Linked DNA regions of Drosophila melanogaster. The protein of the gene in region 1 purifies or fractionates together with the protein of each later gene. This does not show direct contact. Each region holds a gene or a part of one and is shown in the gene's direction. Other genes may lie near its edges. The genes, in order: Tsp and slow.

Region 1 (3,929 bases):
TCACCGACGGGCCCTTAAATATTTATTCAATATTTTTGAATTGATATGCGAGCAAACCAGTTTTACTTCCCCGATAAGCTGGTGAATTGACCTTTAACTACTTTTAATTATATTGTATTGGCCCAAAAAAAAAGGGGCTGAGTTGGAAATTAAGTGATAAGCACTTGCTTTTAGTTTGTAGGGTGAATGGAGAGCTATGGTAACACCTTTAGGTAAATATTTGCACTTAGATATGCATATTTATCAACTGCCATTAAACACTCTCCTTTGAATCATTAAGCCGGAAGCTTGACCAACTTCACTCCAATCAAACCATGTCTTGCCAACTCCCACACTATTTCCAGGTGCAAGGCATCTGGCCTGGTCGGCATCAGTGGCCAAAGCCACGTAACCCAATTAACCGGCGAAGTCGTAAAATGACAATATTTCCTAGAGCAATTGAAGGCTGATGATAATCCCAAACCCCCCTAAGAGTGTTAGAAAGTAGCTCACTTTCGTTACACTGCACAACAAAGTCACGTTCGCTGAGGAAAAAAAAACACTCCAGAAAGCGCTGCACACGAAGAGCAGGAAGAATGCGTGTAATCGAATCTTGAAGACCGAAAAATAAACATGTTAATAATACAATTTTATGATTAATACGCACTGAACTGCAGTGCGAGGTGGTGGGGTAAAGGTGGGGCATTTCGGAGGAGATCAGACTTGATGTTGCTGTTGCGGCGTCGAAAAGTGCGTGGGACGTCTTAGCTCGTAACCACTGAAGATGCTGGGAACAACTCGAGGAGGATTCGGACGAGGAGTGTGTGGAATGGGGCGTGGGGCCAGCGAGGCTTATTTATAAATCACGCACATAATGAAATTTCAGCAAGTGGTCGCCGCTGTCCGAAAAGCGGCAAAATATGCAGCGTTGATGTGGGATAGCATCTCGGGTGTGTCCGCAGCACCGCAACTCCGTGATAAATGCACATCTGCATAATGCCCTCCTCCAACTGTCCGCTGACATGCCGGCGACATAATGACGAACAGGTCGGGCCATTCATTCAACTTCCCTTTCCCTTGGATCCCGATGCTACTGTCGTGTTACGCATCAGTCCCGTGTCAACGGCAAATAGGAGTGGAGGGAGTTCCGAAATGGGGGACACTTGTACTGCATAAGTAGCCATTAATAGGTGCCATATGCATATCATTTTGGGCTCTGGTTTTAACGAGTAGTTCGTCTGTTTTGAATGCCTGCAGAGCGTGCCGTTTATTTACGATCTCCATTTCAAAAGAGCAAAAGTCTGGCCCCATCCACCGAGTTCCTTTGGATTTGGAGGTGGTGGTCGAAAACAAGGATGGACGCATTATCGGAAAAGGGTTCGCACGAATCCGATTTAATGGCCTTAAACGGGCCTACAATGTAAGCATGTTTCGGGATTGAGTTTCAGTTTAATGGCCCAAACGATCTACAATTGGGGCAGCCCAAGTGGGCGACTCCACCATAATAATTGGTGGATAAACTAATGAACTGAAGACAATAAGTAATTACCCATAAATATAATCACAGAGAGCGACTTTTAACCAAAATATTTATTCTTACAAATTACACAGCAGTTTTAAACAATATATTACATAATTGCAACTTAAAGCGCACAAACGAAAACTGCGCTGATCGTTACAGAATATTTAAAATAACATTTTCTATATAGAAAATAAATTTTAAATTTCCTATATTTTAAAGAAGATTACCCATTATAAAATTTTATTTTTTACTAAGGAAGCGGAAGATATGAGATCTGAAAGTTGACTACCACTTTTTCCACTCACTTCCTCAATTATTCAGCAGCGATCTGGCCACACTGTCGATGTTTACGCAAATTTTGCACGTGGGCGTCGCGGCTTACTCACGCGTCAAATCAAAAGAAACACAAACGAAGACAAAATGCCGCGTTTCTCCCAAGAGCAACAACAACAGCTGAGAACAAAACAGAAACGCAGAAAGGCAACAACAAGTTGTCGCTGCTCCAAGTTGCTCCAGCCAACAGCGCTGCCGCTGCCTCAGTCGACGCTGCGCGTCGATCATTCCCTTTGCATTTTCAAATTTTCAGTTTCAGTTCGCGTTGGAACGTTGAACAAGACGGTGCGTGTCCTAGGTGCTTCGATAAGTGATCAGTGATTAGTTTTGGCGATAAATCAGTAGCATCAATCGATCGAACTATCGCGAGAATGTTTCAGTTTTCAAACGCTTCCTAAGTGTGCTTTTGAAATCAGCCCGCGCTGTACAAAGTTTTTTGCCCATATTTTTAAATCCGATCGATCCTCAAGCAGCATCCTCTGCATCCAAGGTGTCCAAGATCGCGTCGCGTTCGCCTTAATAGCATAAAAGTGTTTTAATTTTTATTGGCACGAACGGGCGAGTCAGTTGCGGAGCAGTTGTCGTTGCTGGAGGATTGTAGGCATTGGCGTCGCGTGTTCTCCACCGCGATTCCATAAAATCGACTCCACGAAATCTTCGCGTGTGTCCCCATTCCAAAATCCAGCTTTTCTACCTGGCGCGTATTTCGAAAAGGGTTTAAATGGTCTAATGCATCCGTTTCGTTATCGATTCTTTTAGTGTGAAGATACCCTTGCGACGTGTTTGATCTTTCGCTCTGCAAAAGTACAACATAATAAAAGTGTCTGTGCGGGCGTCCAGGAAAAAGCGGCGGAAAAGTGTGGCAATACTCGTAAAAATAACTCAGGTCGTTTCCATTCTAAATTGCGCGTTGACAGCCGCAAGTGGCGCAAACGAGCCGCACAAACAACAAGGAGCTGTCAGTTCCGTCCCGCCAAGTGGATCACTTGGATCACATCCACATCCGCAGTGGGGGCACCTCTAGAGCAAGAGCAGCGTCCTTGACCACGAGGTGAGTGTGAAGGTGGGCCAGACCTCCGGGCTTCTACATATGCTGCTTATTCGTGTGGCCAAAATCTGGGCTACACTCCGCTCACTCGGAAAATGAGTGCGCCAAGTGGCCAGGTGCGAAGTGCATTCCATATTCAAGTGCCTGGAAGGTACTAGAGCATATTAAGTTGTTCTTAAAGAAGTTGCGTTAATAATGATGCATCATCTCATTTTTAACATATTCTCAGGATCGTAAAGATAAACGAAAGATATACGGAAGTAATCACGACTTGGGTCTATGTTTATTAATATCATTCATTTAGAAAGTTATTAATAGCTAAATGCTAATTTCTTGTTTTCAATCTTAACAGACTGTAGACTAAAGAATCGCATCTTCTAGCTGCACACCCACAGCAGTTTAACTCCTTTTCATTCGACTTTATTGCATGATAATCACCAAGTTGTTGATAGGCCAATCTATGAATATTTTTTATGAGCGCCTCACAAGATTTCTATTCATTTCACCGCCATTTTATATCTGATGATAAATCAAGCTAATTGTTGTTGTAATTCAAATACTATCGATACATATTAATTAGCCACACCCAAGTCAACCGCAATCTGGCGGCAAAATCGGCCTGTGGCATCCTCACCATTCGAGCGACATTAATCTATGGGGGATCTGGGGAGATCTTATCTGCATTGGCGCCATAAATACCGCAGTCGAGTCATAATTTATTAATTACCGGACTTTCCACACGTATTTAAAGCAGATCAGATTGAGGTTTATGCCTTTGCGAGAACTATAATTATGTGGATCATATAAGGTCAGAGCACAGAATATTTTCCCCTCCAACAAATATGAATTGTGATTCGAAACGGCAGCCACAGATTGCTAATGATGTTGACCAAATGAAGCTGGTCACATTCCCCAACAACGGTTAAAATACTTAATTTTATTTGGCTCGATTTCCCAATCACTTTGCAGCTTCTACTGGGCTCTGCTACTCAATTCCAAGCGATTCAATTAAAAGACGCCCACTGCAAAGATCCCCATAACAATTTA
Region 2 (3,929 bases), on another chromosome or scaffold:
ACAATCGTAACGAAGTTATGGTTCTTAACCTTAGTAAACCTTTTAAGCATGGCTTGTCTTTCATACTTCTCATTAAAAATATATTGCCTGTAACAAAATCGAATCCATTATGCTTTCCCACCTAAACCAGTTAAGAAGATACACTTTGGCCACATGTTGTCGGTCATCAAATGGCTGTCAAATTACCTAAACTCCAATGCAGAGCTGCTGCAACTGATGAAAAAGATCGTGATTATGACGAAGGCGATGGGCAACCCACACGAAATGCTAATGAATTGTTATCAGTTAATTGTCTGAGCGGGGTACCCGGCTTTGTTATCTCAGCTCTTATGCTTTTATGCTTTATTTGAATTCGATTTGGGAACGCGGCGTGGGTGTTCCCCAAACCCAAAGTCCCCACTCAAGTGGCAGCTAATAGCCCAATAAATTGTGATTGTCGGCGGCGAGGAAACCGAAGCAACACACACATAATATTAAGAGAAGACCGTAGTACCTTTGTGCAGCTAAGCGAACTGTCAATGGCTGGCACATTGTTCGATTTATGACCATTCTGTTGGCCAGGGAATGTGCAACCAGTTTATGGGATGGATTCGCACGGACGAATGCTGAATGCTGGATGTTCCACAGCGCAGGCGCAAATCCTTTTGACATGTCCAATGTGCTCAGCATTTAGACAGTGGGCAGCTATTCTGTTGCCAGTGGCTAATAGTATGTGGCAATGCACTTGGCGAAACTATTGTATCTAGCACAATCAAAAAAGTTATATACAAAAGTGATTATGCTTAAGGAAAGTACTGTACATATATAATATAACAGACTTACTTAGGACATGAATTAAAGTACATTTAAAACCTTTATCATGTTTAACCCATGAATTTTTGATTAAATCTAGACTTAGTGGCATTTTTCGAGTGTGGTTGACAGTAGCACTCTTATGATGACAACGACAGATCCAGCACCCGATATGGACAGAAGGGCTGGAAACGAGTTCTTCTTCGCTCTGGGACTCGGATTCTCGATGTGAAAGATCAGCGAGCCGTGGCCTAAACTGGCTGCCCGGCAGCGGTGGGTAAATATTTAACTTAACAACTTGCCACCGACCGAAGAAGATGCAACAAAAGCAGCCGTGGCCGCAAGAACAACAACGGCGGACCATAAAAAGCACAAACCGCAACTTCCAAATAGTTTGAACTGTGCAGAGAGTGCAGAGATGATCCTCCTATAAACAAAACAGCTGTAACGCACTCAAAAACCAGCCAACGACCAGCCGAGGGCATACCTGCCCACTGCGCCGCCCACCACCCACCACTGCGCCCCTCAGCCCCACCACAAAGAGTTCTTCCGCCTGGCGAATTCATCCGCTCCACAGTTGCATCGAACAAAGGAAGCCAACTTGTGCCCCCATCGGTCCAATTTCGTTTGAGCGAACCAGCCAATGTGCACCGAACATGGGCTTCGACTGGTCTGACAGTGCAGACCAGCTGGCTATTTCTAGCTGTAAAAAAATATATACAGATTATATACAGACTAATAAGAATACACCTGAGAAACATATTAAAATTCCACTGATATTTAGCAAGATAAATTGAGTAGTAAAATCTTACATATTTGTAGAAGTTTGTGTGGCTTCTTATTTTAGAGAAATTTACCCTTTTCAAAATTTTGCTAAAATATCAGGTAAAGATATTTTTAAAAACAAATATATATGTAGATTTCAGAAAACTCGACGTATTTTCTACGGCATCTACAGTTATCCCGATTCCAAAGAAGTAAACAAAAAGTAAAGTGTGCTACTGATATATGAATGAATCAATGTTTAAGAAAATAACTAAATATTTACCGATGTTCGGAGTGTTCAGAGTATACAATCTATATACTTTTGGCTCCACTTTCCGACTGCACTGGCAGCGCCGTCGATCGCCGATCGTTAACTGGACTTTCGGTTTCGGCTGTGCATTTTCAGTTCGTCTCGGGACTTCTAAGCGATCGGTTTGGATTTCGTTAGCTCCGCCGCGCCAGCTGGAAATTTGTATCTCAAAGATCGCAGCCAGTTCGCTCGGTTTTTGTGCCTGGCATACGGAAGCGGCTAACGCAGAATCCGGAAAATCACAAGAGCCGTATATATTTCACAAATATATATATATAGTATGTTTCGAAAAGGCCCATTCACGGCCATTAAAATATTTTATTGTACAAAAAAGGCACAGTGCCGCGTATCTGCTTAATGTCAGCGCGAAAACTCAATTCAATTTATTGTTTGTGATTGCAAATTTGGCATAATTGTGCTTTGATTTATTCGCGCGTGTTTCGGGTCATCTCTATAAAGAGGAATTTTAAATCTGGGCAAGATTATCTCTGTTTTTCTCTGAACACTGGCTGGGTCAGTTGGAATTTGTTCGCCGTGTGTAAGTCACATGCAAATAGCTTTAATTAATTGCAATTACTTATGATTTGAATGTGTGTCAAAGCGCGGTGCGACATTTCCTAGTGCATTAATCTTGCTCAAAATCGCATTGCCTATCCTGTCTAGGAGTTACATGTCACTTATGGACGTAATTTGCATTTTTGTGGAGCGGCTAACTAAGTTGGCTTACCATTTACATATGCGCTTTGGCTGCCAAACAATGCCATAAATGGTCTAAGAATTAATTATCGTGAGAACTTCAAGACAATGTCTTTATTAAATAATTGTCAATAATTCTGAGTAGTTTTCAATGTACAATTTGTGATAATTTTCTTGGTAATTTTCTACGGTAATTTGCACCTTGATAAAAAGTGTTTAAGACAGTGTAATTTGTTTCCGTGTTTTCTTCAATGCAAATTATTTATTTCGAAATGGCAATAAATTGCTCAATAAATTTTATTTCTTTCAACAATGATCTGATAAAGGATTAATTCATTGCTTCGTTTTTGCGTAAACAAAGATTGTTCTGCGGAAATCTTGTAATTTATTTTTACTCTTTTAGATAAGTTTAAAATATATATATTTTATATAACCATTTTTCTTCACTATCGAAATGAACATTTTATAGCCCAACATTATTGCTGACATGAATGCAACCAAAATAAATATGTAAATCTTGTGACGTTATCGCCATCAAAAATTAGTGTAAATAATGTGACAAAGCGGAAAACGACACAAATCAAAAATAGATGTATCAATACTTTCCATTGTTTAGACTAGTTTGGCTAACAATTATGCATACATATGGCTAAATGAGTTTCGTTTTTTTTTTGTTTGCCCCAACGTGCATTCTGCATTCTCACACATATCGTTTGGCAGGTGAGCAATCAGAAATCGAAGTTTGGGGCACGATCCGTGGAAAGCGATCGTGCCTTTCTGCGTATCATAGTGTCTATACAAATGTTATTATGGTTAACGCCACTGGAAAGTGGGGTGGAGTTTGTTGTTGGTTTTCTTGTTTTTCCTCGACTTTGCTAATTAGACAAAGTCATTTCCATAAATTACGCAGCTAACGGTAACTGGGTTTATGACTTTTGTCCGGCTTGGTCGCGGGTCAACATGAACCATAGCTATATGCATACATATATATGGATATATACTATTTGTTCATATGGGCAATGGGTCTGCGGGGCACGTGTGGGCGTGGCCTCCGCCCCCTTGCAGCTGCAAAGCAATTAGCAAAAGACTGGACATGCCAGCAAATTGAGCTCTGCTGTTGCAGTTTTTCCTTTGGCCTTTTTTGGGTCGCTGCAATTGTTATTGAAATGAGTTTTCGCGTTAAAAACAGTTGAACTTGCTGGAAAAAGGTACATGTATCTCACAGTTATCGATCACAAATGAGTAATTGGCCATTAGAAACGGAATATGGTCACAGGATATCAAATAAAATGAAATTATTATTGAAGGCTATACTCAGCAGTATCTGTAATTATAAATCCATTAAATCTAAAATTGTGCAATATTT

What was found.
Region 2: the proteins of Tsp (region 1) and slow purify together in Drosophila melanogaster (affinity purification with western blotting, with the first as the bait; one study listed by BioGRID). This does not show direct contact.

What each region holds. Positions count from the first base shown.
Region 1 is NT_033779.5:6,707,243-6,711,171, reverse strand, and holds the start of Tsp (thrombospondin), read left to right. Parts: upstream 1-2,085; 5' UTR 2,086-2,885; intron 2,886-3,929.
Region 2 is NT_037436.4:4,382,483-4,386,411, forward strand, and holds the start of slow (slowdown), read left to right. Parts: upstream 1-1,959; 5' UTR 1,960-2,145; exon of another isoform or gene 2,146-2,405; intron 2,406-3,929.